Anolis sagrei: one gene and its partners. The protein of the gene in region 4 purifies or fractionates together with the protein of the main gene of each other region. This does not show direct contact. Links are inferred from orthologs where the notes say so. Each region holds a gene or a part of one and is shown on either strand. Other genes may lie near its edges.

Evidence for each region.
Region 1: the proteins of CUL5 (region 4) and LRRC41 purify together in Homo sapiens (affinity purification with mass spectrometry; 3 studies listed by BioGRID and IntAct, counting the BioPlex papers as one, with this or other methods). This does not show direct contact. The link is inferred for Anolis sagrei from reciprocal best matches to the Homo sapiens genes CUL5 and LRRC41.
Region 2: the proteins of CUL5 (region 4) and WSB2 purify together in Homo sapiens (affinity purification with mass spectrometry; 3 studies listed by BioGRID and IntAct, counting the BioPlex papers as one, with this or other methods). This does not show direct contact. The link is inferred for Anolis sagrei from reciprocal best matches to the Homo sapiens genes CUL5 and WSB2.
Region 3: the proteins of CUL5 (region 4) and RAB40C purify together in Homo sapiens (affinity purification with mass spectrometry; 5 studies listed by BioGRID and IntAct, counting the BioPlex papers as one, with this or other methods). This does not show direct contact. The link is inferred for Anolis sagrei from reciprocal best matches to the Homo sapiens genes CUL5 and RAB40C.

Annotation. Positions count from the first base shown.
Region 1 is NC_090024.1:178,395,579-178,402,969, reverse strand, and holds the start of LRRC41 (leucine-rich repeat-containing protein 41), read right to left. Parts: upstream 3,118-7,391; 5' UTR 2,987-3,117; coding exon 2,878-2,986; intron 116-2,877; coding exon 29-115; intron 1-28. Other genes in the region: UQCRH (cytochrome b-c1 complex subunit 6, mitochondrial), read left to right, coding at 3,262-3,312. UniProt on the Homo sapiens protein: Probable substrate recognition component of an ECS (Elongin BC-CUL2/5-SOCS-box protein) E3 ubiquitin ligase complex which mediates the ubiquitination and subsequent proteasomal degradation of target proteins.
Region 2 is NC_090034.1:43,464,284-43,471,860, reverse strand, and holds the start of WSB2 (WD repeat and SOCS box-containing protein 2), read left to right. Parts: upstream 1-4,542; 5' UTR 4,543-4,630; coding exon 4,631-4,670; intron 4,671-7,577. UniProt on the Homo sapiens protein: May be a substrate-recognition component of a SCF-like ECS (Elongin-Cullin-SOCS-box protein) E3 ubiquitin ligase complex which mediates the ubiquitination and subsequent proteasomal degradation of target proteins.
Region 3 is NC_090034.1:27,645,612-27,653,699, reverse strand, and holds the start of RAB40C (ras-related protein Rab-40C), read right to left. Parts: upstream 3,182-8,088; 5' UTR 3,068-3,181; intron 1-3,067. UniProt on the Homo sapiens protein: RAB40C small GTPase acts as substrate-recognition component of the ECS(RAB40C) E3 ubiquitin ligase complex which mediates the ubiquitination and subsequent proteasomal degradation of target proteins.
Region 4 is NC_090023.1:26,178,978-26,186,921, reverse strand, and holds the start of CUL5 (cullin-5), read right to left. Parts: upstream 3,067-7,944; 5' UTR 2,751-3,066; coding exon 2,727-2,750; intron 1-2,726. UniProt on the Homo sapiens protein: Core component of multiple cullin-5-RING E3 ubiquitin-protein ligase complexes (ECS complexes, also named CRL5 complexes), which mediate the ubiquitination and subsequent proteasomal degradation of target proteins.

The DNA of each region.
Region 1 (7,391 bases), on a different chromosome or scaffold from region 4:
CTCTAGTACATCTTCCAAAATAACTGACCTTTCTTCACAGCAGTCGCTTCAATTCGCTCCAGATAGTAAATGTTAAGGAGAGGCAAGATGCCCTGGAGTACTGGACCCGGAAGTGCTTTTGTGGAGAGTAGACAAAGCCAAAGTTCAGTCACTGACACAAAAAAAACAACAAAAAACAACAAAAAACAAAACCAGATACAGATGCATTTGCATTTTCACCCTTGTGAAAATCTCTTTCATTGTGTCTAACATAATTTAACTCTTTAGGACAGGGGTCCACAAACTTTTTAAACAGAGGGCCAGGTCACAGTCCCTCAAACTGTTGCAGGGCCGGATTATAATTTGAAAAAAAAAATGAATAAATTCCTGTGCACACTGCACATATCTTATTTGTAGTGCAGAAAACACTTAAAAACAATGCAATTAAAATGAAGAACAATTTTAACAAATATAAACATATTAGTATTTCAATGGGAAGTGTGGGCCTGCTATTGGCTGGTGAGATAGGAGTGTTGTGTTGTTGTTGTTGTTGTTGTTGTTGTTGTTGCGCGCTTTCAAGTCATTTCAGACTTAAGTTGACCCTGAACGAGGGCCGGGTAAATGACCTTGGAGGGCTGTATCCGGCCCCCGGACCTTAGTTTGAGGACCCCTGCTTAAGGACATACTGTATAAATAAACATCCTTTGAAAAAGAGTACACATGCATGATCCCATATCCATGGGAGATATGTTCTAGGATTTTGTGTGGATTCCAAACTGTGGATAAAAACGAACCCTATTATTGTCAATGGGACAAACAACAGAGAAAGTGAGATGAGGCTGTGGTTTGTACAAGAGGCCCTAAGAAAATAAGGGAGACCATGGATAAGTGAAACTGCATATATCGGTTGGGATCATATAGTCGTCCTAACCATTTTGTGGTTCTGACTTTTGCAGATTTGACTATTCATAGATTAGATTGTAAATGTTCTCTAGGGCTCCTTCCATACAGCCATATAACTCAGAATATCAAGACAAATAATCCACAATATCTGCTTTGAACTGGGGCCCCTTCCACATAACTAAATAAAATCCCACATTATCTGCTTTGAACTGGAATACATGGCAGTGAGGACTCAGATGAACCCGTTCAGAGCAGATATTGTGGGAATGTCTGCCTTGATATTCTGTATTATATTGTTGTATGGAAGGGCGCTCAGATATCTGAGTCTACACTGCTGGATAATCCAGTTCAATGTGGATTTTATACATCTGTGTGAAAGGGGTCTGGAACTCTTTAGGTTCACTGCTGTTTCTGATCAACTTCCTCCACAATCATGCTGAAAGGCCTAGAGATTTATAGGGAGATCACCTCTCGAAGGCTGCATCCATATTGTAGAATTGATGCAGTTTGACACCCCTTAAACAGCTATGGTTCAATGCCATGGAATCCTGGGAGTTGTAGTTTTGGTGATGCACTAGCACTCTTTGGCAGAGAAGCCAAAAGACTTCACGGAATCACACCTCACACAATTCCAGAGCATTGAGCCATGGTTGTTAAATGGTGTCAAACTACATTTGTTGTGGTTGTTTATTCATTTTTATCCCACTTTTATTCCATGGGTGGGACTTAATTCTACAGTGCAGATGCACTCTAGTTTTTCCAATGCAATTCTGTGGTAATCTTCCTGCAGAGGTTGACTACAGAGTCAAGCTGGAAGACACAAAAATTCGTAGAGAGATGTTCTCTCAGGTAAAAAAAGAAAACAACTTCTTCATTTGCAGTTTCCTATTGTCACAGGAGCCCTGTGCAAATAGGGAGGGATGACTGTACTGTCTTTACCTTCATGGCACCTGTCAACAACATGATTTTTGAATGGATTTCATTTGGCAAATAATCCCCCAAAAGTAGTTTTGCCCATTCCTTCCTCTGAAATATAACTTGGTGTTTGGGTTGTAGGTTTTTCCGGGCTATATGGCCATGTTCTAGAGGCATTTTCTCATGACGTTTCGCCTGCATCTTTGGCAAGCATCCTCAGAGGTAGTGAGGTCTGTTGGAAGTAGGAAAATGGGTTTATATATCTGTAGAATGACCAGGGTGGGACAAAGGACTTTTGCTACTTTTCCTACTTCCTACATTTTCCTACTTCCAACAGACCTCACTACCTCTGAGGATGCTTGCCATAGATGCAGGTGAAACGTCAGGAGAAAATGCCTCTAAAACATGGCCATATAGCCCGAAAAACCTACAACAACCCAGTGATTCCGGCCATGAAAGCCTTCGACAATAACTTGGTATTTGTTGGGGGACTCCCACCCAAATACCAACTAGAGGTGACTCTGCTTAGTTTCCAAGATTAGGTAGGATGTGGTGAATTTAGGGTATTGAGGCCTGGTGTGGTGGAGGCCGAATCCACCTGGCAAAATCTCCAGGGGATCTCTCAACGTCCTTTGATGAATTTCAAAAGATGAGAAAGAAGTTGCCTTATGATAGTTTAGTTCTACACTGAATGAATGAATGAATGAATGCAGTTTGGGACCATTGCCATGACTCAATGCTGAAACCTTTGGGAGCTGTAGTTTCACAAGATCTGTAGCTCTTTCTGCCAAAAAAAGGGCTGGGGTCTCACTAGAATACAATTCCCATGGATTCCAGAGCCATGGGGGTTAAAGTGGTGTTAAACTGCATTAATTCCACAATATAGATCAGGCCTGGGCAAACTTGGGCCCTCCCTCCAGGTGTTTTGGACTTCAATTCCCACAATTCCTAACAGCCTACAGGCTGTTAGGAATTGTGGAAGTTGAAATCCAAAACACCTGGAGGGAGGGCCCAAGTTTGCCCAGGCCTGATACAGATGCATCCTGTGTGTATTATTTTGTCCTTTTTTCCTCTTCTTACCCCAAACCTCTTTCTCCACGCGTCCCATGATGGAGCTGACTCTCTTCCCACTGAGCTCAAAAAGGCTGAGAGGCCCTCGCTCAGTCTCCTCCTCAGACTCGGCCTCCATGATCGCCCAGGCGACAGCAACCTCCTGGAAGAACTTGGCTGGATGACGCCATCTTGGGAGGGTCCCTCATTGTTAGGTGGAGGCGTGATGCGGCCGCCATATTGAGGAGGTCGGCCATCTTGGTAGAGTCGAACGCTCCCACCAACGCCTGCGGAGTCGGGAAGGGGGAGGAGCCACCTGAAGGTCGACCGGAAGCGGCACTCGGATAGGGCGGGATATCCGTTGGAGCGTGCGTGGGATGACCCTTGGGCGTCCTTCTGAGGCTTCAATTCAAGATGGGGAGGCAGGATGAGGCCGCGCTGGAGGGACGGAGCGGGGACCCGGAGGTAAGCCCCACTTTCTCCCAGTCGAGAAGGAGCGAGGCCTATCTTTTCACTTCAGGGAACGCCGAGCCTTTTATTTCCTTCTCTGAGAGTCCCCCTCCCTTGCCTTGGCCACCCTTTGGCCTCCCTCTGCTTCCTTGTTCTCCTCCTTGCCTCCCTTCCTATACAACGTTATCCTCACCCCATGGTTTTTACAGGATTTTCTTCAGCAAGGAAGAGTGCATCTATACCAGCTATGGGCAAACTTGGGCTCTCCAGGGGTTTTGGACTTCAACTCCCACAATTCCTAACAGCCTTTCAAGACACCACAATTGAAGAGAGATATTGACAAGCTAGAATGTGTCCAGAGGAGGGCGACTAAAATGATCAAGGGTCTGGAGAACAAGCTCTATGAGGAGCGGCTTAAGGAGCTGGGCATGTTTAGCCTGAAGGAGAGAAGGCTGAGTGGAGATATGATAGCCATGTATAAATATGTGAGAGAAAGCCACAGGGAGGAGGGAGCAAGCTTGTTTTCTGCTGCCCTGGAGACTAGGAACTATGGCTTCAAACTACAAGAAAGGAGATTCCATCTGATCATTAGGAATCAATGATCATCCGGAGTTTCGGGGTGCGGTGTCATCTGTACGCAGATGATGTCCAACTCTGTCACTCCTTCCCACCTGCTACTAAGGAGGCTGTTGAGGTCCTGAACCGGTGCCTGGCCGCTGTAACGGTCTGGATGAGGGCGAACAAACTGAAACTAAATCCAGACAAGACAGAGGTACTCCTGGTCAGTCGCAAGGCCGAACAGGGTATAGGGTTACAGCCTGTGCTGGACGGGGTCGCACTCCCCTTGAAGGCGCAGGTTCGCAGCTTGGGTGTGACCCTGGACTCATCGTTGAGCCTGGACCCCCAGGTTTCAGCGGTGACCAGGGGAGCATTTGCACAGCTCAGGCTCGTGCGCCAGCTGCGCCCGTATCTCGGGAAGTCTGACTTGGCCACGGTGGTACACGCTCTTGTCACATCCCGCCTGGACTACTGCAACGCTCTCTACGTGGGGCTGCCCTTGAAGACGGCCCGGAAGCTTCAGCTGGTTCAGCGCGCGGCAGCCATGTTACTAACTGGAGCGGGTGGCAGGGAGCACACAACGCCTTTGTTGTCCCAGCTCCACTGGCTGCCGATTTGCTACCGGACCCAATTCAAGGTGCTGGTTTTGGCCTACAAAGCCCTAAACGGTTCCGGCCCCAAATACCTTTCCGACCGCATCTTGGCCTATGAGCCCACGAGGACCTTGAGATCGTCTGGGGAGGCCCTTCTCTCGATCCCGCCTGCCTCACAGGCACGGCTGGCGGGGACGAGGGAGAGGGCCTTCTCGGTGGTGGCCCCCCGGCTGTGGAACACTCTCCCTGCACACATCAGACAGGCGCCTTCCCTCATGTCCTTTCGAAAAAGCCTTAAGACATGGCTGTTCGAGAGGGCATTTAATTAAGTGCTAAACAATACGGTAATGAGAACTGGAATGGAACAAGGAATATGAGACTGGCTATGATTCCACTAAGAGACGAAGCGGATTTTTAGTGTAGTCTGTAATTGTTGTATAGTTTATATGTTGTTGAAACTGGCTTTTTTGTAATTGTCTTTTATGTGTACTGTACACCGCCATGAGTCGCCCTTATGGGCTGAGAATGGCGGTTAATAAGTGCATCAAATAAATAAATAAATAATAAATAGGAAGAAGTTCTGACACTGCGAGCTGTTCAGCAGTGGAACTCTCTGCCCCAGAGTGTGGTGGAGGCTCCTTCTTTGGAGGCTTTTAAATAGAGGCTGGATGGCCATCTGTCAGGGGTGCTTTGAATGCAATTTTTGTTCTTCTTGGCAGAGGGTTGGACTGGATGGCCCATGAGGTCTCTTCCAATTCTCTGATTCTATGAAAACTACCAGAGGGCCCAAGTATGCCCATGCCTGATCTATACAGTAGAAGTGATTCAGTTTGGCCCCACTTTAACTGCCCTCATTGCATACTAGGAAATCATAGAATAGTTTGCTTTTGTTTGCTTTCCAGCAGCCAATAATGAACGGACCAAGGCAGTGACATCTCTGGCTCATCCTCTGTTTGGATATCAGCCAGCGTGCCAATGCCTTAAATCAAGAAATAGTCTTCTAAGATCTACAGATACTCGCAGGAACACCTCAGCAAGCGAGAGTCCAAAAGTCACAGGTGAAAACCCTTGCCTCAAGCCATGGCTGAGACCGAATGAGAGATTCCCCCTGGGCACACAGAAGACTGGGCAATTTGGAAGGCACCACGAGATGCAGAGCTAACCTTAAGAAGTTGAGTCTATGACATGCAAGTGTGTAGAAGTGCAAACCACCTATTACAATGCAGTCAGAGCCCTGCCACATTCACAATGAAGGTCAGCAACACCAGAGGCACTCCCAAGTGGCCAGCCACTGGTCAACGGACAGTTAATATAATGCCAAGTTTCTAAACTTTGTGTCTTTTTAAAATACAACTGTAACCTCAGTTGGCTTCTAATACATTAAATACATATTAGAGAAGGCTAAAGACATTGCAAAACTACAACTCCAATGAATCCATAGCATTGAACCATGGGCAATTAAAGTGGTGACAAACTTCATTAGTTATACATGCACCCAAAGACTCAGAGGTGCTTTGTCATTTCTTTCTTCTGAAATATAATCTGCAGCACCAGGCATTTGTTGATTTCCTCTCCACCTGCTAATCCAGGCATACCCTGCTTAGCTTCCAAGATCATATAGGTTTTAGTGGATTTAGTATACTTTGACGACCCCCCCCCCTTACATAAGAGTATATCCTATTCTCCTTCAGTGTTCAATGAACACACTGGATTGATTTGTCCTCCCACTGATTATGATGCTCACTTCTACTCCTCCTCTATCTAAAATTACTTACTCAGAGCAAAAAATCAATGATTCTTTCAGCCCTAAGAGACTAGGGGCCTTTCCAGACAGGCCCTATATCCTAGGTTTACTGTTTTGCTGTTTATCCTGTATTATCTGGCAGTGGAGACACATATAATCTATTTTAAAGCAGAAAACCTGGGATCAGATCCTAGGATATAGGGCATGTCTGGAAGAGCCCTTACTTCCTGGGAACTATGTGTATAGGAGTGTGTTATCAACAGTTGCATCCACACTGTAGAATTAGTACATTTCTACACCAGCTTAACTGTCATAGCCTAGTTAAGATGACTGCGCTCATTGGAAGAGAAGAATAAAGACATTGTAAAATGAAAAGTCTCATGATTCCATTGCATTGAGACACGGTAGTTAAAGTGGACTCAAACTTGCGTCAATTCTACAGTGTAGATGCCTTTGGTGACTGTTTCTGATTCTTTCACTAGTAGATTGGGATGATTTTGGGGATAAGCCTTAGACAGAGACAAACCAATTTACATTCATACATAAATAGACATGTGCATTAGCTAGCCCCCCTAGAACTGGTCATGGCAGGAGACAAAATGCTTCACTGAAATCTGCATATAAATATTCTAAACAATTTCTGTGTTGTTTTATTGAATTTATATTAGCTATTTCATCACTACTTGCTTTGCTACCTTCTCTTTTTTATATTAAAGCATTCTAGTTTCACAATTACTGTATTTATCATGCCCTCCCCTGTCCCACTTTTCATAGAGATGTTAACTTCTTTTGTGTGTGAACCTGTATGATCTGATCTTCAAACAGATCTACCATTACTATTTTATGGGGCACACTTTAAATTGTATTTCCTAGAAGAGTTATGACTTTATATCTGTAGTACTTAGTATACCTTTACATGTACTTTGAAAAAAACATTCTATGCAATATCCCCTTCAATGCTGATTCTGTTTATCTTTGTTTTTCTTCTGATTTAATTCACACGATTTTGAGGGCCCTTATATTTGTATTATATCTCAGGTTAGGTTCCTACTTACAGCCTGGCCTATAAAACTGTGAATTTCATATTGGTTTTGAAAATCAACTTGCTTAAATTTGAGACAAGTACCACTATATTAAAAAAAAAAAGTTTCTGTACTAAGCAAATATAAAGCTTGTGTTGTAACATAAAACTATACTAT
Region 2 (7,577 bases), on a different chromosome or scaffold from region 4:
GTAACACAATTTGAGAAATATTCTGTTCCTGGTTTGAAAGTGTTATTCCTGTTTAATTGCAGTCCGTACTTTGAAAGTCATTGTTCTACTCCAGAAACTTCGTTTTTGTGGCTGCTGCAAACTATGTTGAATTGGTTGAGACTCGATGAGATATTCATTGAAAAACTATAGCAACAAGTTCTCTAGCAGGATGTCCCACAGAAACAAAGGTTTTGCAGTTGAATAAATGTTTCCCATGTTTCTATGAAAGAGCCAATTAGGAAATGACATTTCTAACCCAGAAACAAAAATTGTGTTGCAAAGTGTTGTTATGATTACTCGCCTCTCCTTATCCAGCATCTACCAATCCCCCTTGGGTGCCAGTTAACCTGAGAGTCTACTGTAATAACTGGAAGCTAACAAATGTATCTCATATGAGTGACTTGCAACTATAAACAGCATTATTCCCTACATCTGCTATTTGCTCTCAGCCATGTACTCGGGGATTGAGCACAAATGGAAAATAACAAAAATGAAAGCCAGTCCTGTGGGTCTTTCATACATGGACATTGACAGGCATTTGTATGTGATGCGTAAGCATCTCTGTTTAGAGCTGCCTTGGCTTTGCTATGCAATCGAGGCCATTGTGCAGGAAGGCGTCTTGCTTTAGTAGCACCTTGCCATTCAGCACCCGAGTTGCCATGGGCAGACGCCACGCTTTGCAGCCTTGATGGAGGACCTTGTTCCCAAAGCCTGACTCATCCAAACAACGCTCACAGGAAGAGCGGTGGGGAGACAAAAGCACCTGCACAGGAGGCTCTCTTTTTGTTAACCCATGGCTTCCCATGAGATTGAGTGGTAGATGCTGGGGAACGGGCATTTCTGGATGCTTGAGAGTCACTCTTTAAAATAGGCTTAACTCAGACTGTGCCATACTAGTATAAACTCTGTATTGACTTGTGGTTCATATTGAAAGACAATCCCTAAAAGCCAAGGAGGACAAACTCAATGCAATGCAACCATCTTTTACAGCTTTTGATTTAAAGGATTCTTGGATCGATTTTTTGCCGGTTGCTTGAGTTCCAGTCAACAGAGAGTCTACTGTGCGATCTGGTCAGTGAGCTTTGGCATTCCCATTTGCATTTGGACTTCCTGCTTCAAGAAACTATCCCTAAATATAGTCTCTCTTTGGTGAGCTCTGGGTGTGTCTGCACTGTTGAATGGATGCCATGGAATCTGGGATTCTGTCCTTTGGTGAAGGCCTTGTGAAACTATAACTCCCACCATTCCAAAGCATTGAGCCAAAGCAGGGAAAGGAGTGTCAAATTGCACAGAGATTGCCAAATTTATATATTTGGGCCTCGTTTGTATTTTTGGTTAGTAACTTGGAAGAAGTTACCTCAGGCCAGCAGTATTTTTTCAACCAGTTTTTTGTAAATTAATAAAAAAAAGACTTGTATAGGTTGGTTTGTTGTTTTCCTGTTGAAAACATGGGCTAGGACACTGAGGTGCTGAAGGGAACGTGCAAATCTATTGTTGTTTATTTGTTCAGTTGCTTCCAACTCTTCATGACCTCCTGGCCCAGCCCACACCAGAGCTGTCTGTCTGCCATGGGTGCCCCAGCTCCTTCAAGGTCGAGTCAATCCCTTCAAGGATGACATCCCTCCATCTTGCCCTTGATCCGCCCTTCTTCCTTTTTCCTTCCATTTTCCCCAGCATTATTCTCTTCTCCAAGCTTTCCTGTCTTCTCATTACTACTGGGAATAACACTGCTTTAACTATGCTGGACCTTCGTTGCCAGTGTGATATCTCTACTCTTAACTCTTTTATTGAGATTGGTCATTGCTCTCCTTCCAAGCAATGACCAAAATCGATAAAATAGTGAAGAGTAGACACATCACACTGACAACAAAGATCCGCATAGTTAAAGCAATGGTATTCCCTGTAGTCACCTACGGATGTGAGAGCTGGACCATAGGGAAGGCTGAGCAAAGGAAGAGAGATGCTTTTGAACTGTGGTGTTGGAGGAAAGTCCTGAGAGTGCCTTGGACCGCGAGAAGATCAAACCAGTCCATACTTCAAGAAATAAAGCCTGACTGTTCATTGGAGGGAAGGATATTAGAAGCAAAGATAAAGTATTTTGGCTACATAATGAGAAGACAGGAAAGCTTAGAGAAGACAATGATGCTGGGGAAAATGGAAAGAAAAAGGAAGAGGGCCAACCAAGGGCAAGATGGATGGATGTTATCCTTGAAGGGACTGGCTTGACCTTGAAGGAGCTGGGGGTGGTGATGGCCAACAGGGAGATCTGACGTGGGCTGGTCCATGAGGTCATGAAGAGTCGGAAGTGACTGAATGAATGAACAACAACAACAACAACTCCCAAGAAGGAAATGTCTTCTGATTTCCCAGCTGCATTCCACATTTGCAGTAATTTTCGCACCTAGAAATACAGTCTTTCACGGCCTCCACGTTTTCTCCCTCTATTTGCCAGTTATCAATCAGTCTGGTTGCCATCATCTTGGTTTTTTTTAAATATTTAGCTGCAATCCAGCCTTTGCACTTTTTTCTTTCACCTTGGTTAGAAGGCTCCTCAGCTCCACCTCACTTTCAGCCATCAAAGGGGCATCATCTGCATATCTAAGATTGTTAATGTTTTTTCCAGCAATTTTAACTCCAGCCTTGGATTCATCAAGCCACACACATCGCATGATGTGTTCTGCATACAAGTTGAATAGGTTGGGTAAAAGTATACAGCCCTGCCATACTCCTTTCCCAATCCTGAACCAGTCGGTTGTTCCATTGCCTGTTCTTACCGTTGCTACTTGTTCTTTATACAGATTCCTCAGGAGACAGACAAAATGACTTGGTATCCCCACACACCAAGAACATGCTACAATTTATTGTGATACACACAGTCAAAGGCTTTAGAATAGTCAATAAAACAGAAATAGATGTTTTTCTGAACTCCCTGCCTTTCTCAATTATCCAGCGGATATTGGCAATTTGGTCTCTCCTTCCTCTGCCTTTCCTAATCCCAGCTTGTACATCTGGCAACTCTCTCTCCATGTATTGATGGAGTCTACCGTGCAGGATCTTGAGCATCACCTTACTGGCATGTGAAATAAGTGCCACTGCACAAAAGTTTGGGCATGCTTCAGTGTTTCCCTTTTTGATATGGGGAGATAAGTTGATTTTTTCCCCAATCCGATGGCCATTCTTGTGTTTTCCATATTTGCTGGCATATGGCATGCAACACCTTGATAGCATCATCTTTCAAGAGTTTAAACAGCCTCTTCAAATTCTACAGCACTGCTGGTCACAGCTGACCTCCAGCTGGAGCACTCAAGGGCCAGGGCTTCCAAGTTCTCAGTGTCTTTGCCAGTTTTTAAGGTTGGCTTTGAGCCCATCATTCAATCTGTTTTCTTGCCCACCAACATTCTGTTTTCCATTCTTGAGTTCGGAGTAGAGCAACTGATTTGGGAGATGGTGGCCAGTCCAGCGGAGCTGATGGCGGAGGACCATCACTTCACTGCTGGTGATCTTTGCTTCTTCCAGAACGCTGACATTTGTCCGCTTGTCTTCCCAAGAGATTTGCAGCATTTTCTGGAGTTGCATGTGACATCTGTAGACTGTCCACGCCTCGCAAGCGTATAGCAGGATTGGGAGGACAATAGCTTTATAAACAAGAACGTTGGTATCCCTATGGATGTCCCGGTCCTCAATCACTCTCTGCTTCATTCGGGAAAATGCTGCAGTCGCAGAGCTCAAGCAGTGTTGTATTTCGGTGTCGATGTTGGCTTTTGTGGAGAGATGGCTGCTAAGGTAGCGGAAATGGTCAACATTTTCTAATGTTACACCATTAAGCTGTATTTCTGGCATTGGAGAGGGATTGGCTGGTGACTGCTAGAAGAGCACTTTGGTTTTCTTGATGTTCAATGACAGACCAAGCTTCTCATATGCTTCTGCAAAGGTGTTTAGACTGGCGAGTAGGTCTTATTCTGAATGCGCACAGATGATGTTGTCGTCAGCATATTGGAGTGCTACAACAGATGTTGTTGTGACCTTGGTTTTGTCTTTCAGTCTGCTGAGGTTAAACAGCTTGCCATCTGTCCAATAGATGATTTCCACTCCGGTGGGACGCTTCCCATCAACAAGATGAGGTATCATTGCGATGAAGATGGGAAATAAGGTTGGGGCAGTAACACATCCCTGTTTGACACCTGATTCCACCTTAAATGGGTCACTTTGGGAGCCATTGCTGTCCAAGACTGTTGCCATCATGTCATCATGGAGGATGTTCACAAATTTGTTTGGGCACCTGAGAGGGAAGGCGCCTTCTGTTTCTCAGAAGGAAGGCAAGAAGAGGGAAGAGAGGGCGAAGAGGACTGGGAGGCAGGTAGGCCAGGAAGAGAAAAAAGGCGGGAAAAGCGCCCAGAGCCCAACGCGCATGCGCTGCCCTAGGACAAAGGTGCCACTGGAACCCCTGTCCGGCCTATGCTGACAGCCCCGCCCTCTCCTCAAACCACGCCCACCTAGCCTCCTCGGCAATTAGCCCCTCCCCGGCCGAGGAGGGATCACGTGACCCCCAAGAAGAGGAAAAGGAAGTGTCCCCGGCGCCGGCTCTGCTGTGTTTTCTGATGCGGTCCGGATGGAGGGGAGGCCGGCGCCTCAGGGAGAGGAAGCGGAGGGTGAGCCGTTCTGCCAAGCCTCGCGCCTCCTCTGCCCGAGCAGGCCGCCCACTGCTGCTCCCACCCTGCCCTAGCAGGCGCCTTGGCCATGGAAGCTGCCCTTCAGGCCCAGGCCCCTGCCACACCGCCCAATACCGCCCCACATTCTCTGCTTGGAACTGCGATATATGGCCGTGGGGACTCAGATAATCCCGTCCAAAGGATAGATTGCGGGATTTATTTATTTCGTATCAAAAGCATTTCATAAATTAGTATAAAAACGATAAGAAAAATAGAAGGAGCGCAGGTGGCTAAATAAAACGGGCAACAGCAACGGCATTGTCGGTAGCCCCCAACAATTCTTCCTCAGTACATGAGGCAGGGCAGAGTGGGCAAGCATACAGATGCGGGGATGTCTGCTCTGCTCCACAGTCACACAAGGTGTGGGATTCTTTTAGGTAGTGCCCTGTTGCCAGGTTGTCTTTTGATCTGCCCACTCCAGTCTGTGCAGGGACTTCCAGGTTGCTCATTCTTGGTTTGCCCCTGGAGGAAGACCCTCGTGAGGGCCATCCGGTTGGGATTTTTCGATTTAGCTGCCCAGAGGGATACCCTTGCTGTTGCTGGGGGAACGCCAAGAGGAGTGGTAGTTCTCATAAAGCTTTTCCTTGATCTGAGTCTACTGCAGTGGTTCTCAACCTTCCTAATGCCGCGGCCCCTTAATACAGTTCCTCATGTTGTGGTGACCCCCAACCATAACATTGTTTTTGTTGCTCCTTCATAACTGTCATTTTACTACTGTTATAAATCATAATGTAAATATCAGAAATGGAAGATGTATTTTCATTCACTGGACCAAACTGGGCACAAATACCCAATGCAACCACATGTAAATGCTAGTGGGGTTGGGGGAGGATTGATTTTTGTAATTTGGGAGTTGTAGTTGCTGGGATTTATAGTTCACCTATAATCAAAGAGCATTCTGAACTCCACCAGCAATGGATTTGAACCTTATTTGCCACACAGAACTCCCATGACCAACGGAAAACACTGGAAGGGTTTGGTGGGTTTGGGAGTTGTAGTTCACCTATATCCGGAGAGCACTGTGGACTCACACAATGGTGGATCTGGACCAAACTTGGACAAACACTCAATATGTGCAAATGTGAACACTGGTGGAGCTTGGGGAAAATAGACCTTGACTTTTGGGAGTTGTCGTTGCTGGAATTTATAGTTCATTGCAATCAAAGAACATTCTGAACTCCACCAACGATAGAATTGGCTCAAACTTCCCACATGGAATCCCCATGACCATCAGAAAATACTGTGTTTTCTGATTGTCTTTGGCGACCCCTCTGACACCCCTTCGCGACCCCCTCAGGGGTCCCGACCCCCAGGTTGAGAAACACTGGTCTACTGGGAGGAGGCTGGTAACCATGTAGTGAATGGCTTTCACGGTGTACGACCTTATTTCTCTCACATTTAGCAGCAACTTCCCGCTGCACATGGGGGGGGGGGATGCCAGCTAGCTTGTAGAGTTTATCAACAGGTATAGGTTTAAGACATCCTGTGATTATTCTGCATGTTTTGTTCAATGCTATGTTCACCTGCTTTGCATGGGCAGACCTATGCCAAACAGGGCAGGCATACTCAGCAGTTGAGTAGGAAAAGGCCAGGGCTGATGTTTTTATTAATTTTGGGTCTGCACCCCATGTGCTGCCAGTATGTTTCCCCAGGATGTTATTGCATGCAGCTACTTTGTGCTTGGTGTTCAAGCAGTGTTTCCTATATGCTAGTGTTCGATCTAAGGTGACACCGAGATATTTAGGATGGAAATAATGTTCAAGCTCTTGACCTTCCCAGGTGACTTTTTTTAAACAATTGTGGGATTATCTGACTTGATATTCTGGGTGATATGGCTGTGTGGAAGGGCCCATCCATGCACATTAAACTGCACTATATGGCAGTGTGGACTCAGATAATCCAGTTCAAAGCATATCTTGTGGATTATCTGCCTTGATATTCTGGATGATATGACTGTGTGGACAGGGCCCTGGGTTACCTGAGTGGCCTTCCACACAGCCATATATATAACCCAGAATATCAAGGCAGATAATCCACAAGGTTTGCTTTGAACTGGGTTATCTGTGTCCACACTGCCATATCATCCAGTTCAATGTGGGTGTTACACAGCAGTGTGAATGGGGCCTCAGGAAGCCCATTGGGGATTTGGGGTTTTGGATTTCCACATGAGGGATACTCCACCTTTCACAATTATTTATCGTATCAGGAGCAAATCTGTAATGTATTTAAAAAACACAGTTTTAAAAAACTTGGCATTATACTAAATGTCCTTTCACCAGTAACTGGCCATTTGGAGTGCCTCTGGTGTTGCCTATAAGGAGGTCCTCCATTGTGCATGTGGCAGGGCTCAGGTTGCATTGCAGCAGGTGGTCAGTGGTTTGCTCTTCTCCACACTCGCATGTTGTGGACTCCACTTTGTGGCCCCATTTGTTAAGGTTGGCTCTGCATCTCGTGGCGCCAGAGCGCAGTCTGTTCAGTGCCTTCCAAATTGCACGGTCGTCTGTGTGCGTAGAAATGAGTCTCTCATTTGGTATCAGCCACTGATTGAGGTGCTGGGTTTTAGCCTGCCACTTTTGGACTCTTGCTTGCTGAGGTGTTCCTGTGAGTATCTCCGTAGATCTTAGAAAACTATTTCTTGATTTAAGGCATTAACGTGCAGGCTGATATCCAAACAGGGGATGGTCCAGAGATGTCATTCCCTTAGTCCTTTCATTATTGGCTGATACTTCCCGGTGGATGTCAGGTGGCGCAATACTGGTTATACAGTGTAATTTCTCCAGTGGTGTAGGGCACAGACAGCCCGTGATAATACAGCATGTCTCATTAAGAGCTATATCCACTGTTTTA
Region 3 (8,088 bases), on a different chromosome or scaffold from region 4:
ATCCAGATGCAATCTAGTGTCACACTGACAGAGAACTCACTAAGATTCTGTAGGTGCTGGATAAGGAAAGTATGCCAGAATTAGGTTTCACAGTGCCTGGCACTAAAAAAGGTACCAAAGGGAACAAGCAAGAGAAAAAGAGAGAAATACTGCATGCACGATATAGAAGAAGGGGGGAAGAATAGCAGTTTAACAATGTTACTTAACACTTATTAAGCAACACTTCCAAAATGATATGTATATCACAGCTGATTGCATGGCAAGTGAGATTATTATTCCCTCCCTGTGATGCAGAGGGAGACTGAGAAGAGAGTGCAGTTTAGCTAAAACCAGATACTGGGTTTATTTATGGGAGAGGCCAGATCATTACCTGGGACTTCCTGATTTGTAAGTTGTTTTTGCTTACAAGGTGCTTCCCAGAGGCACAACCATACAAAAGTTATGGCACTAGGGGCTCAGATCCCTTATTTGGCAGCCAAACCTGGACGCTTTGACTCCATCTATACTGGCCATTTTATGCAGTTTTCAATCAAGTACTCAAGAAAGTAGTTTCACGGTACAGAGTATTGCATCAGAAATCCTAGGACCAGTTTGAAGTCCGGAGGCGATGTCACAAATCACAGAGCACTAATGCACATTCAGGACTTTCTCTCACACACTTCTGTGGGAGTTTGTTTTTGGATGCCCAGAGTTTGAAGCTAGCATTAAATGGTCAGTGTAAATGGGGCCTTAATGAGTGAGCACTCTTATGCATAGAAACACAAGAGTTGGAAGAGACTAGGACCAAGAGGACTGAAAGCAAGGATTGAAGTACAGTTGATCTAACTTTAATTCAGCCACCACTGAAGTGCATTTGAACTCCCTTTAATTCAACTGTGATTTAATTCAGTAGCTCTGTTTTTAGCAATATCTTAGGATCCTAGAGTAGGAAGAAATGGGTCATCCAGTCCAAGCTTATTCTGCCCTGCAGGAAATGTATAATTCAAACACTCCCAACAGATGGGCATCAAGCCTCTATTTAAAGACCTCCAGAGAAGGAGACTCCACTGGACTGGCATATTACACGTTCTTCCTGATTTTTAGGTGGGATCCTCTTTTCTTGCAATCTGAATATTTCCAAAATAAAAAATATCAATATTGTTGGAAGGGATGGGAAACAATGATTGAGGTACATTTGAACTCCCTTTAATTCAAAAGGTGGTTTAACCCTGTAGCTCTTGTTTTTTTTAGCAATTATCTTAGAATCCTAGCATTGAAAATAACCCCAAAGGCCATTCAGCCCAATCTTATTGTGTCAAGTAGCAATACACAATCAAAACATTCCCAACGGATGACCAACCTCTTAGGGGGTTGGACTAGATGGTCCATGTGGTCTCTTCCAACTCTATGATTCTATATTTAGGTGGAATCCTCTCTTTCTGAGTCCCTCCGGGGAGATAGAGAGGAATATAAATATAGTTATTATTGTTATTATTATTATTATTATTATTATTATTACTATATATTCCTGCAATCTGAATCTTTAAAAGAATCAATCTTGTTGAGAGGTATGACGGTGATCTCTAAATGCATTTGAACTTCCTTTAATTCAACGGTGGTTTAATAAACCGTAGCTCTGTTTTTAGCAGTATCTCAGAATCAACAGAGTTGGAAGGGATCTTAAGGGCCACCCAATCAGGTTATTCTTCCATGCAGGAACCCGCAACACAAGCATTCCTCCTTGCTTAGGAAAACCATATGAAATCCATGGGGTCACCCTATGCTGACAAGTGAAGCTCCAGTTACACTGCCATATAATCCCATCTCTAGAACCGTCTCTGAGGATTATTATCTGCGTTGAACTTGATTATATGGCAGAGCGAATCCAGCCTGACTCCCTTTAATTCAACAGCGGTTTAACCCTGTTGATCTGCTTTTGGCAACCTCCTACAACCCCAAGAAAGAGACCACAACAGCCATTATTATTATTATTATTATTATTATTATTATTATTATTTTACTGACACAAAAACACAGCAAACGAGATATATATGCTGGATTTTGCATCAAAAATCACAAGTTGAACACTTCCCAAGTGTCTAGAACTGTGTGATGTATTTTCGAATAATGCGCACAGCTCCAAGTAAGCTGGCCTTTTGCAGGTGACAGAGTGTGACTTTGTCAATGTTTATTGTTTCCAAATGCTGGCGGCCATTATCATCATCATCATCATCATCATTCTCTGTAGTTCTTTGGCAATCTCTTACAATCCCAAGGAAGAGACATCAAGGGCCATTATTACTATTATATTATTATAATATATTATTATTATATTCCCTATAGCTCTGCTTTTGCCAATCTCTTTGAATCCCAAGGAAGAGACCCCAATTGCCATTATTACTATTATTATTTCTACTACTATTATTATTCTATTCCCTGTAGCTCTGCTTTTGCCAATCTCTTATCCCCAAGGAAGAGATCTCAATGGCCATTAGTGCGATTATTATTATTATGTAATATACTATTAACTTGGAATATTACTATTATTATATTATTATAATATTCCCTGTAGCTCTGCTTTTGGCAATCACATCTCGCCATTATGCTTACTCTTAGGCTTATTCTTATTATAATTATTGCAATATCATATATTACAAATATATAATATTTATAGATTAATAACATCATTTTTATTATGTTCCTTGTATTTCTGGTTTTGGCAACCTCTTACAACCCCAAGGGTCATTATTATTATTATTATTATTATTATTATGTTATATATTATCATCATTATAATTATTCTTAAATTCCCTGTATCTCTTTGGCCATTATAAATTATTATTATTGAAGATCTTTCAATACAATTTTAATAAAATCTACAAGCATTCATATCAGGTTTAATTATCATTGGCATTACATTTTTAAAAACCCCTTAAAATCCGCATTCAAAACTAAACCAAAAACCCACCCAGCATGGCCTGCCTGAATAAATAAATAAATAAGAAAAGACCCGGGCCGGGGCCCATTCGGCGAGGTCACGATCAGAACCCTCCCGACAGATGTCAATCCCCTCCCGTCTAGGCCTCACCTGCCCGCCTGCCTGTTTCCTTCCTGCTTCCTCCTCCTTCTTCTCTGAGTCGGCCGCGCTCGGCTCCTGCACGAACGAGCCAACGCAGCGGCTACGGCGTCCTCCCATAGGCTTCCCTACACGTCAATCAGCAATGATGAGCGGTGGGCAGGGAAATGCAAGCGAGAGTCGCCCTCCCACAGGTTCCCCCGCACGTCAGTCAAACCGCCCTACCTTGTGTATTTTTTCTCTCTCCAGCCTCCACAGGTGCCCCATCCAATCAGGAGCGGCAGCCGTGGAAAAAGTAAAGGAGAGCGGCACTTCCATAGGCTCGTCTGCACGTCAGTCATCCCATCCTTCCTTGTGTTTGTTCTCTCTCGCGCCTCCTCAAGTGCGCCTCCAATGACAAGCGGCGGGCGGGGAAAACGCAAGGAAGAACGGCCCTCTTATAGGCTGCTCCGCATATCAGTCAGTCCGCTTTTCCTTGTGTTTTTTTTCTACTTCCCGCCTCCTCAGGGGGGTTCCTCCACTCAGGAACGGCGGGCGGGGAAAAAGCGAGAGAGAAGGGAAAGGCCTGGGAAATGTCACTCAGCCTGAAGACGTTTGATCCCGCCCTCTCAGGCTGACGCGCCCAATCACGAGCCGCGAAGGATTGGTGAGCGGGGAGAGAAGGCAGAGACAGAGAGAGAGAGAGAGAAGGGGAGGGACCATAGACTACTCGTCCCGGCATGCAGCGCGCGGCCTTGGTGCGCTGACGCTGAGCGTGAAATAAGACAAAGCATGTTGGGAAGGGGAGGAAGAGTTCCTTCCTTCCTCATGGCGTCTCCATGGCAACAGGGCTCTCCCTCTGGCCTCTCCATACACACAGGCCCCTTTCCTTCCCCAGTGACGTAGAGGAAGACAACTTCACCTAGCAACGGCTGATCTTGGGTCATGACAGAGGGTCACTTCACCTAGCAACGGCCAAGCCAGTGACATCGTAAAAAACCACCGGATTGTCACCTAGCAACAGCTTTTTGTACAAACAGACAGACATACCTGACTGTATATGTATATATATGTCTCTCTGTGTGTGTATGAATGTGCATTTCATAATGTGTGATTAATGTATCTTTTATTAGAAATGACCTTGATTTACAGGAGTTCTAGTTCACCTGCATCCAGAGAAAGAGTGACCCCCACCGACAATGGACCAGGACCAAACTTGGCACAGAGAAGCCCCATGACCAACTGAACATACTGCAGGGATTTGTGGGAATTGGCCTTCATTTTGGGAGTTATAGTTCACCTACATCTGGTGACCCCCACCGAAAATGGACCAGGACCAAACTTGGCACAGAGAAGCCCCTTGACCAACAGAAAATACTGCAGGGATTTGTGGGAATTGATCTTCATTTTGGGAGTTGTAGTTCACCTACATTCAGAAGAACAATGACCCCCCACCAACAATGGACCAGGACCAAACTTGGCACAGAGAAGCCCCAAGACAACTCAGTGTTGGGCTTTGTGGGACTTGACCTTGTTTTTGGGAGTTGTAGTTCACTTGCATCCAGAGAAACAATGGCCCCCACTGACAATGGACTTGGACCAAACTTGGCACACAGAAGCCCCATGACCAGCTGAACATACTGCAGGGGTTTGTGGGAATTGACCTTCATTTCGCAAGTTGCAGTTCACCTTCATCCAGCGAAACAGTGACCCCCATCAACAGTTGACAGGAACCAAACATGACACAGAGAAGCGCCATGACCAAGTGAACATACTCAGGGGTTTGTGGGAATTGAGCTTGGTTTGAGGAGTTGTAGTTCACCTGCATCCAGAAAGTACTGAACAGAGGCAACGTCAGATCTGGACCAAACTTGGTGCACAGACCCAACAGAGCCAACTATGCATACAGACGGGGTTTGGGGGCAATTGCCCAGGGAATTTGGGAGTTGTATCCAGAGAGCACTAAACTCAGCCAACGATGGATCCGGACCAAGCTTGGCACACAGACCCAACATGGCCAAGTGCGAATATGTTCCGCCTCGTAGTCTTAAGATCTGCTGGGGAGGCCCTGCTTTCGGTCCCACCAGCTTCGCTAATGTGACTGGTGGGGATGATGGACAGGGTCTTCTTGGTGGTGACCTCGCTGCCTGTGGAATTCACTCCCCAGCGAAATTAGATCAGCGGCCTCCCTCCTTTCTTTCAGAAGAAAACTGAAGACGTGGTTGTGGAACCAGGCTTTTGGCTAATGGATTTAACGGCACCAGAACAGTGAATTGGACCAGACGGTTGTTACAATGGAAATGCCTTTATGATTGGATAACTAATGCTGTTTTAATGTATCGTACTGTATGATTTTATTTTGCTTTATTATTGTAATTATTGCAGCATTGAATTGTTGCCTTTGTTAGCCGCTCTGAGTCCCCCTGCGGGAGTGAGAAAAGCAGGGCAGAAATGCTGTAAATAAATAATAAATAAATACTGTCAAGGTTTGGAAGTGATTGCCCTAGGAATCCAGGAGTTGTAGTTCACCCTCATCCAGAGAGCATGGAACCCAGCCAACAATGGATGTGGATCAAATTTAAAGTTTTGGGTTTTTTTTAATGTCAGGAGCAACTTGAGAAACTGCAAGTTGCTTCTGATATGAGAGAATCAGCTGTCTGCAAGGACATTGCCCAGGGGACATCCGGATGTGTTTCCATCCTGTGGGAGGCTTCTATCATGTTCCTGTATGAGAAGCTGGAGGTGACCAATGGGAGCTCACCCCGCTCCCCAGATTCGACCTGCCGACCTTTCCGTCAGCAGTCCTGCCAGCACAAGGCTTTAACTCATTGTGCCAGTGGGAGCTCCACCAAACTTAAGTGATATTACCTAACATCCCAAAACAAACAATGCCTTCTTCTAATAACCCGGGCACCTGCCCAATAAATCCCAGTGTTTGTATGTATTTTCCAAGAAGGCCCCAACTTTCAGGGAGCACTGTAACTCCCACCAACAATGGATCTGGACCAATCTTGGCACACAGAAACCCCATGGCCAACAGAACACACAGGAGTGGTTTTGGGGGGAATTGACTTTGAGTTGGGTGAGTTGTAGTTCACCTACATCCAAAGAGTATTGCAAACGCAAATGACAACATGTGGATCATACTTGGCACACAGATCCAACATGGCCAACTGTGAGCACTGGTGGGGTTTGGGAGTGATTGACCTTGGAATCTGGGAGTTGTAGTTCACCCACCTCTGGAGAGTACTGAAACCAGCCAACGACAAATCTGAACCAAACTTGACTCACCCAACATGGCCACCTAGGAATACTGTCAGGGTTTGGAGGTGATTGACCTTGGAATATGGGAGTTGTGGTTCACCCACGTCCATGTATCAAATATATGAGAGGAAGTCATAGGGAGGAGGGAGCAGGCTTGTTTTCTGCTGCTCTGGAGACTATGGTTTCAAACTGCAAGAAAGGCGATTCCATCTGAACATAAGGAAGAACGCCGCCCTGAGTCCCCCCTTGGGGGTTGAGAAGGGCGGGGTAGAAGTGCCTGAAATAAATAAATAAATAAACTTCCTGACTGTGAGATCTGTTCAACAGTGGAACTCTCTGCCCCGGAGCATGGTTGAGGCTCCTTCTTTGGAGGCTTTTAAACAGAGGCTGGATGGCTATCTGTCGGGGGTGCTTTGAAAGCGATTTTCCTGCTTCCTCACAGGGGGTTGGACTGGATGGGCCACGAGGTCTCTTCCAGCTCTATGATTTTATGATTATGCTTTTTCTAATGGAAGCAATCATAAAAAGCAAATTATTAAACTGATATTTCTAAACATAAAAATCGACTTTTTTCAAATAACCTGTGTACCCAAGCTAGCCTGCCTGCTATCTATCTGTCTATCTATCTATCTATCTATCTATCTATCTATCTATCTATCTATCTATCTATCTATCTATCAGAAGCCTCAAAAGAAAAAAGAGACGGGGGACACGAATCCAGGGATTCTCATGGCTGCCAATCTCTTTGCGCAGCACATGGGAAGCCACAACTGCTGCCTGAACAAAAGATGATGATGGTGATGGTGATGACAATGACAGCAGGGGAAATTCCCCAGTAGGATTGCCAGATGTCCCTTGTTTGAAAGCCCATCCCTCGCGTAAAAGGATTGTCTTGTGACTTATCATCTTGGCCCCAATGCACAGAATGGGGAAGGGTCTTTCTTTCATGTTGTGCAGATGGTGCTCTGTGGAACGCCGGGCGTATTAGCATCTTGTACAGAAATGGATTAGATTGTGCCATAGTTTTATCCCTTCCTTGAGACCGACAGAGAAACGAGAGGAATATTTTTCAGTTTGCACATGGAACCTTATTATTATTATTATTATTATTATTATTATTATTATTATTTAAATAAATGAATTTTGTTATTGGGTTGCTGTGAGTTTTCCAGGCTGCATAGCCATGTTCCAGAAGCATTCTCTCCTGATGTTTTGCCTGCATCTATGGCAGGCATCCTCAGAGGTTGTGAGGTTTGTTAGAAACTAGGCAAGGAGGGATTATACAAATGGCTTATTGGCCTATGCATTTTGACTAACCCTGTATATCTGTAGAATGATGCCCAGGATGGGAGAAATAATTATTGTCTGTTTGAGGCAGGTGTGAATGTTGCAATTGGCCACCTTGATTAGCATTAAATGACCTTGCAGCTTCAAGGTCTGACTGATTAGCTGGCCCCTGTTTTTTAGTGTTGTTCTTTATTTACTGTTTTGATTTTAGAGTTTAAACTGAACCACCTAAGCTGGGCTCTACAGGCCAATAGAGACTCCACCAGACATAAGAAGAGCTGCAAGACCAAGAAGAAGCCATGAGCGAAAAGTGTTCTTCCCATATATCAAGGGAATCACTGACCACATAGGGAAGCTGATGAAGAAGCACAACCTACAAAGAAAAAGGAATAAAACCAACATACACTGGCATTTTGGAGAAGAGGTCAATATAAGAATGATTAACATTAAGGATGAATATATATCCCATGGGTGGTGGTGGGTGCACGTAAAGATTAGATGTA
Region 4 (7,944 bases):
TACCCTGGAGACTAGGATGTGGAACAATGGCTTCGAACTACAGGAAAGGAGATTCTACCTGAACACGAAGAAGACCTTCCTGACTGTGAGAGCAGTGGAACTCTCTGCCCCAAAATGTGGTGGTGGCTCCTTCTTTGGTGGCTTTTAAACAGAGGCTGGATGGCCATCTGTCAGGGGTGCTTTGAATGTGATTTTTCCTGCTTCTTGATAGCGGGTTGGACTGGATGGCCCACGAGGTCTCTTCCAACTCTATGATTCTAAGAACTTCAATGTATCAGAATTATCTCAGGATCCTTCCATGCAGTTGTATAAAATCCACACTGAAATGGATTATATGGCAGTGTGGGCTCAGGGCCCTTCTACACAGACATACAACCCAAAACATCAAGGCAGATAATCTACAATGTCTGCCTTGGACTGGGTTATCTAAGTCCACCCTGACATATTCCAGTTCAATGTGAGATTGAATATAGCTGTGTGGAAGAGGCCTCAGCCCAAGCACAGATCTCTACATATAGCCATCCCCTGCCACATGTTGCTGTGGCCCAGTCTGGTGAGCTGGAAAATAAAGTAGGGAGAAAGTGTTGGTTGATGCAATTTCTTTATGCTTGTGGGTAAACAGTATTTCTTGTTGTTTCTTTGTCAGTGTTGATGTGGAGATTGTCTGGACTGCCTACTCTGGAACAAGCAACATATAATTGTCCTTCTTTAAGGATTCCCTTTCAAATATATACTATATCTGTCATATACATACATATTTGTGTGTGTGAATCATATATACCTTATCTGTATCTATGGCTTAATGGCTCTTTATCAGGAGGGCTTTGATTATGTTTTCTTGAAGGAAGTTGGGAGTGGATGGCCTTAAGGCAGCATTTCTCAACCTGGGGGTAGGGACCCTGGGGGGGGGGGTCACAAGGGGGCGTTAGAAGGGTTGCCAAAGACCACCAGAAAACACAGTATTTTCTGCTGGTCATGGAGGTTCTGTGTGGGAAGTTTGGCCCGATTCTATCGTTGGTGGGGTTCAGAATGCTCTTTGATTGTATGTGAACCATAAATCTCAGTAATGACAACTCCCAAATGTCAAGATCTATTTTCCCCCAACCCCATCTGTGTTCATATTTGGCATATGGAGTATTCATGCCAAGCTTGGTCTAGATTCTTAACTGTTTTGAGTCCACAGTGTTCTCTGGATGTAGGTAAACTACAACTCTTAAATTCAAGGTCCATGCCCACCAAACCCTCTAGATCAGTGGTTCTCAACCTGTGGGTCCCCAGGTGTTTTGGCCTACAACTCCCAGAAATCCCAGCCAGTTACCAGCTGTTAGGATTTCTGGGAGTTGAAGGCCAAAACATCTGGGGACCCACAGGTTGAGAACCACTGCTCTAGATCCTTAACTGTTTAAGTCCACAGTGTTCTCTAGATGTAGGTGAACTACAACTCTGAAATTCAAGCCCACCAAACCCTCCCTGTATTTTCTGTTGGTCATGGGAGTTCTGTGTGCCGGGTTTGTTCTACATCCTTAATTGTTTGAGTCCACAGTGCTCTCTGGATGTAGGTGAACTACAACTCCTAAACTCAAGGGCCATCAGATCCTTCTAGTGTTTTCTCTTGGCCTGTGTGCCAAGTTTGGCCCAATTCTATTGTTGGTGGAGTTTAGAATACTCTTTGATTGTGGGTGAACTATAAATCTCATGACTCCCAAATGTCAAGGTCTATTTTCCCCAAACCCCATCTGTGTTCATATTTGGCATATGGAGTATTCGTGCCAAGTTTGGTCTAGATCCTTAATTGTTTGAGTCCACAGTGTTCCCTGGATGTAGGTGAACTACAACTCCTAAACTCAAGATCCATGCCCACCAAACCCTTCTGGTGTTTTCTGTTGGTCATGGGAGTGCTGAGTGATAAGTTTGGCTCAATTCTATAGTTGGTGGGGTTCAGAATGCTCTTTGATTTTAGGTGAACTGTAAATCTCAGTAACTACAACTCCCAAATGTCAAGGTCTATTTTCCCCAAACCCCATCTGTGTTCATATTTGGCATATGGAGTTTGGTCTAGATCCTTAATTGTTTGAGTCCACAGTGTTCCCTGGATGTAGGTGAACCACAACTCCTAAACTCAAGGCCAGTGCCCACCAAACCCTTCTAGTGTTTTAAATCTCAGTAACTACAACTCCCAAATGTCAAGGTCTATTTTCCCCAAACCCCATCTGTGTTCATATTTGGCATATGGAGTTTGGTCTAGATCCTTAATTGTTTGAGTCCACAGTGTTCCCTGGATGTAGGTGAACTACAAATCCTAAATACAAGGCCCATGCCCACCAAACCCTTCTAGTGTTTTCTGTTGGTCAGGAGAGTCCTGTGTGATAAGTTTGACTCAGTTCTATAGTTGGTGGGGTTCAGAATGCTCTTTGATTGTAGGTGAACTATAAATCGCAGCAACTACAACTCCCAAGTGACAAAATCAATTCTGATGATCACTCCTTGGGTTAGTAGGTGCCTTGTGGCCAAATTTGGTGGCAATGAGTCCAGCGGTTTTTGAGTTATGATGTCACCCAAAACGAACACAGCACTTAAATATAGATAGATATAATCTACATACAGACACACAGCCTCTCTTCTTCCCTCCTCACTTCCCCTTCTTGGCTTTCCCTCTTCTCTTCCTCCTCCTCTCCACATAATAACCTCTCAACCCTCCTCCAGGCCCAGCCGCCTCCTCCTCTCACCTTTAAGAGATTAGACGTCGCCATGTTGCCCCCCTCCACAGCACGCAAGGGGAGGGGGGCCCGCGCAGGCGCACAAGAGAGGCCTGACCAGGCCGGCGGCGGCGGCGGCGGATGAGATTTCGGCGGCGGCGGTGGCGGCTTCCTCTCTTCCTTTGCCTTTACATGCTTCGCCGCTCGGTCAGGGGCTGGCACTAGCTTCCGCCTCCTCTTTCCCCCTCAGCGCCTCATGGCCTCTTTCACGGAGGAGGCTTCGCAGGAGAGCCGTCGTCTCGCAGCGGCCCGGCTCCGCGAGAGCCCACATGATGCGGCGCCCCAGAGCCGGAAGCCCCCGCCGCACCGAGGGAAGGGGAGGGAGGGAGGGAGAGTGTGCGCCGCTGAGGCTTCCCACCACAGCGACCCCTGCCGGCCGGAGGTCATCCTGACACTCTTTTTTTCTTCTTCCTCGCAGAATTCTGCCTTAACCTCCCTCCCCGCTGATGACGTCATCGCTAAGCTCTTGGAAGCTAAGCAGGGTCAGCCTTGGTCAGTACTTGGGTGGGAGGCCGCCAAGAAGGACCAGGTGATGTTTCACAAGGTGGGCCAAAAGTCACAACGGGGTTTCAGTATTTAAACATAATAACACACATTTATATTTATATGCATATTTATTTATTTATTTATTTATTTTATTTGCTTTTTTTCTATACCGCATTTTTTCAGCCCTTGACAGGCGACTCAATGCGGTTTACATGGTACAAGTATCAAACAGTGTCAGTGCAATTAAAACATAACAATGCAACAAACAGGATCAACAGCATCAATCCACAACAATTAACAATCAACAAGACAGATCAACAAGACAAACATAACATAACGCCTCAGTTGAAATCAGATCCGTTTTCATAATCCTTGTGCCATTCCTATGTTCCATTTACCGTCTTCCTATGATTGGTTGCACTGCTTAACCAAACGCTTGTTCATAAAGCCAGGTCTTAACCATTCTCCGAAACGTCAGCAGCGAAGGTGCCTGCCTGATGTCTGCCAGTAGGGCATTCCATAGCCGAGGGGCCACCACTGAGAAGGCCCTGTCTCTCGTCCCCGCCAAGCGCGCCTGTGACGCAGACGGGATCGAGAGCAGGGCCTCCCCAGACGATCTTAATGTTCTGGTCGGTTCATAGGTAGAGATGCGTTCGGAGAGGTAAGCAGGGCCAGAACCGTTTATGGCTTTATAGGCTAAAGCCAGCACCTTGAATTGTGCCCGGTAGCGGATTGGCAGCCAGTGGAGCTGGCTCAGCAGAGGAGTGGTATGCTCCCTGAGTGCCGCTCCCGTTAGCAACCTGGCCGCCGAGCGCTGGACCATCTGAAGCTTCCGGGCAGTCTTCAAGGGCAACCCCACGTAGAGCGCATTGCAGTAATCAATCCGGGATGTAACCAGAGCGTGGACTACCGTGGCCAAGTCAGACTTCCCAAGGTACGGGCGCAACTGGCAACATATATAATGTGTATATGTGTATACATGTACACACATATATTTGTATAAACACACATATGTGTATAAAGTGTGTATGTATATACATGTACATACATATACACAACATATATAATGTGTATATGTGTATACATGTACACACATATATTTGTATAAACACACATATGTGTATAAAGTGTGTATGTATATACATGTACATACATATACACACATTTATGTATGAAGTGTATATGTACATGTGTATACATGTATATCTCTGGTTGTACTGGTCCATACTCTCATCCAACCTTTTTAACTTGTATGCAGAACACATCATGCGATGTGCGGGGCTGGATGAATGCAAAGCTGGGGTGAAAATTGCTGGAAGAAACATTAACAACCTCAGATATGCAGATGACACCACTCTGATGGCCGAAAGCGAGGAGGAGCTGAGGAGCCTTCTAATCACGGTGAAAGAAGAAAGCGCAAAAGCGGGTTGCAGCTAAACATCAAAAAAACCAAGATTATGGCAACAAGAATGATTGACAACTGGAAAATAGAGGGAGAAAATGTGGAGGCCGTGACAGACTTTGTATTTCTAGGTGCAAAGATTACTTCAGATGCAGATTGTGGCCAGGAAATCAGAAGACGCTTACTTCTTGGGAGGAGAGCAATGTCCAGTCTCGATAAAATAGTAAAGAGTAGAGACATCAGACTGGCAACAAAGATCCGCCTAGTCAAAGCCATGGTATTCCCTGTAGTCACCTACGGATGTGAGAGCTGGACCTTAGGGAAGGCTGAGCGAAGGAAGATCGATGCTTTTGAGCTGTGGTGTTGGAGGAAAGTGCTGAGAGTGCCTTGGACTGCGAGAAGATCCAACCAGTCCATATTTCAGGAAATAAAGCCCGGCTGCTCATTGGAGGGAAGGATAGTAGAGACAAAGTTGAAGTACTTTGGCCACATCATGAGGAGACAGGAAAGCCTAGAGAAGACAATTATGCTGGGGAAGGTGGAAGGCAAAAGGAAGAGGGGCCAACCAAGGGCAAGATGGATGGATGGCATCCTTGAAGTGACTGGACTGACCTTGAGGGAGCTGGGGGTGGTGACGGCCAACAGGGAGCTCTGGCGTGGGCTGGTCCATGAGGTCACGAAGAGTCGGAGACGACTGAACGAATGAACAACAACATCTGTATGCATATAATGTCTCTGGCATAGACACTGAGAACTGGGAAGCCCTGGCTGGAGGTCAGCTGTGACCAGAAGTGCTGTAGAATCTGAAGGGGCAAAAGAGAGAAACATGTGAAAAGGAAGGCCTGCCAAGCCAACCCTGACTGGGACCACTTTCCACTTGGAAACCAATGCCCTCACTGCGGGAGAAGATTCAGATCAAGAATAGGGCTCCACAGTCACCGCTTATACACCGATCTTGGAAGACAATCCTACTCGGACAACGAGGGATCGCCTATGTATGTAAGTAAGTAAGTAAGTAAGTAAGCATATAATGTGTATATGTATATACATGTACACACATATATTTGTATACACACATGTGTATAAAGTGTATGTATATACATCTACACATATACACACATTTATGTATAATGTGTATATGTACATTATACACATGTATACACATATATGTATAATGTGTGTATGTATATACATGCACACATGTATTTATGTATGTGTATATGTATATACATGTACACACATATATACATTTATGTATGTGTATATGTATGTATGTGTGTAAATGTTTCACATGTAGATATTTATGTATGCTTATATGTATATACACATAAACACAAATATACACACATGTATACATATATACACATATACATGTATGTGTATAATGTATATATATATATATATCTGTGTACATGGACACACATAACATGTATAATGTGTATGTGTATATGCATGTACACACATATGTGCACACATATGTATAATGTTAATATATACATGTAAACACATATACACACATATATAATATGTATATGTATATACACGTACACACATGTATACAAACATATGTATAATGTGTATATGTGTATACAAGTACATACATATACATATATACACATATATTTATGTATGTTTAGATGTATATACATGTACACACATATACACACACAGGGTGCATCTACACTGTAGAATTTTACTGTTTATGGATGTATTTTAATTTGATTTATGTCTAACTGTAATTGTACAATTGTAATTGTTTGTGCTGGCATTGAATTTTGCCATTACCTATGTGGAAACCGCTTTGAGTCCCCTTCGGGGTGAGAAAAACGGTATACAAATGTTGTAAATAAATAATAAATAAATAAACATATCCTCTGAAGATGCCAGCCACAGATTCAGATGAAAAGTCAGGAGAAAATGCCTGGAAACCACACAACACCCCTGTGATTCGAGCTGTGAAAGCCTTCAATAATACAGATGTATCATATGTATGTTATTAAATATTGAAATTCCTTTGTGTCTTTTGGCCTACTCTATCTATTATGATGCCATGGTATTGGATATAATTTACCCAATTAGATTTTTTTACATGTAATGTACTCCATGTGATGCTATGATATTGTAACCTACAAAACAAAAAAATTAAGGAGTTATGAAATATTGAAAACTATTTGTGACTTTTGCCCACCTTATCGATTTCCAAGGAAGGAACTGGCAAAAATCACCTCTGTGAATGTACCTACGCTGTAGAATTATTGCAGTTTGCTACCATTTTAACTGCCATGACTCAATGCTGTGGAGTCATGGGAGTTGTACGTACCAGCACTATTGGCAAAGTGGGCTAGAGTCCTTGTAGAACTGCAACTCCCATGGTTCCATAGCATTAAACCATTACAGTTTGTCTATATTAATTTTACGGTGTAGGTGCACCTTATATATTTTGTGCCTAAGATAACTCTATGAAATTCACGAGGTCTCCATATGTCAAAAGGTGACATGGAGACGGGGCCTAAGTGATCTAGGTCTAGAAGTCTGATTATGAGCACTCTTTCTGCTTGTGTTTCATAGCATTGAGCCATGGCAGCTAAAACGGAGTGTAGATGTATTGTTTTTCTCAATCCAGTTCAAGAAATATTCACTTCTTGGGCTACATAAATCAGACCAAGGACTCATCAGAATAGAGTACACATTACATAGCTTTATTTAAATTTTTTTTGAAAATGTAAAGACCAGAAAGCATGTAGATAATAAAATGGTAATAAGAGTATGATAGAAAATATCTTGCTACTTAATAGCACCTTTGTTGCTGATATCAATATATGCAACTTCCTGTAATCAAGAATGGATTGTGTTGGAAGTGAAAGGCACTCACCAAAAGTATGGATGCAGTGTCTACATACTGGAGAGATGCCCTAGCTATGTGAAAATAGTATACAAGTTTGCAAAGCAAAGTGGCAGATTAAACACACACACAACAAAGTGCCAGATAGGAGATGGTGAGTTTACAGGACGTACCAGTAAGTAGCATTTGAGTTTGGGGTGGTGTCTGAAGCAAGGTTCTCCAGTCTCGTTTTCTCCAGATATTCTGAGCTACAGATGTAGTCATTCTCAGTTAATCTTGCCAAAGAAGACTGACACAGGGTGCATCTACACTGTAGAATTAATGCAGTTAAACATCACTTTAACCCCCATGGCTCAATACTAATGGGATTTGGGATTTGGTGAGGCACCAGCCCTCTTGGGCACAGAAGGCTAAAGACTTTGTGTAAAACTACAGCTCCCATGAATTCATAGCACTAA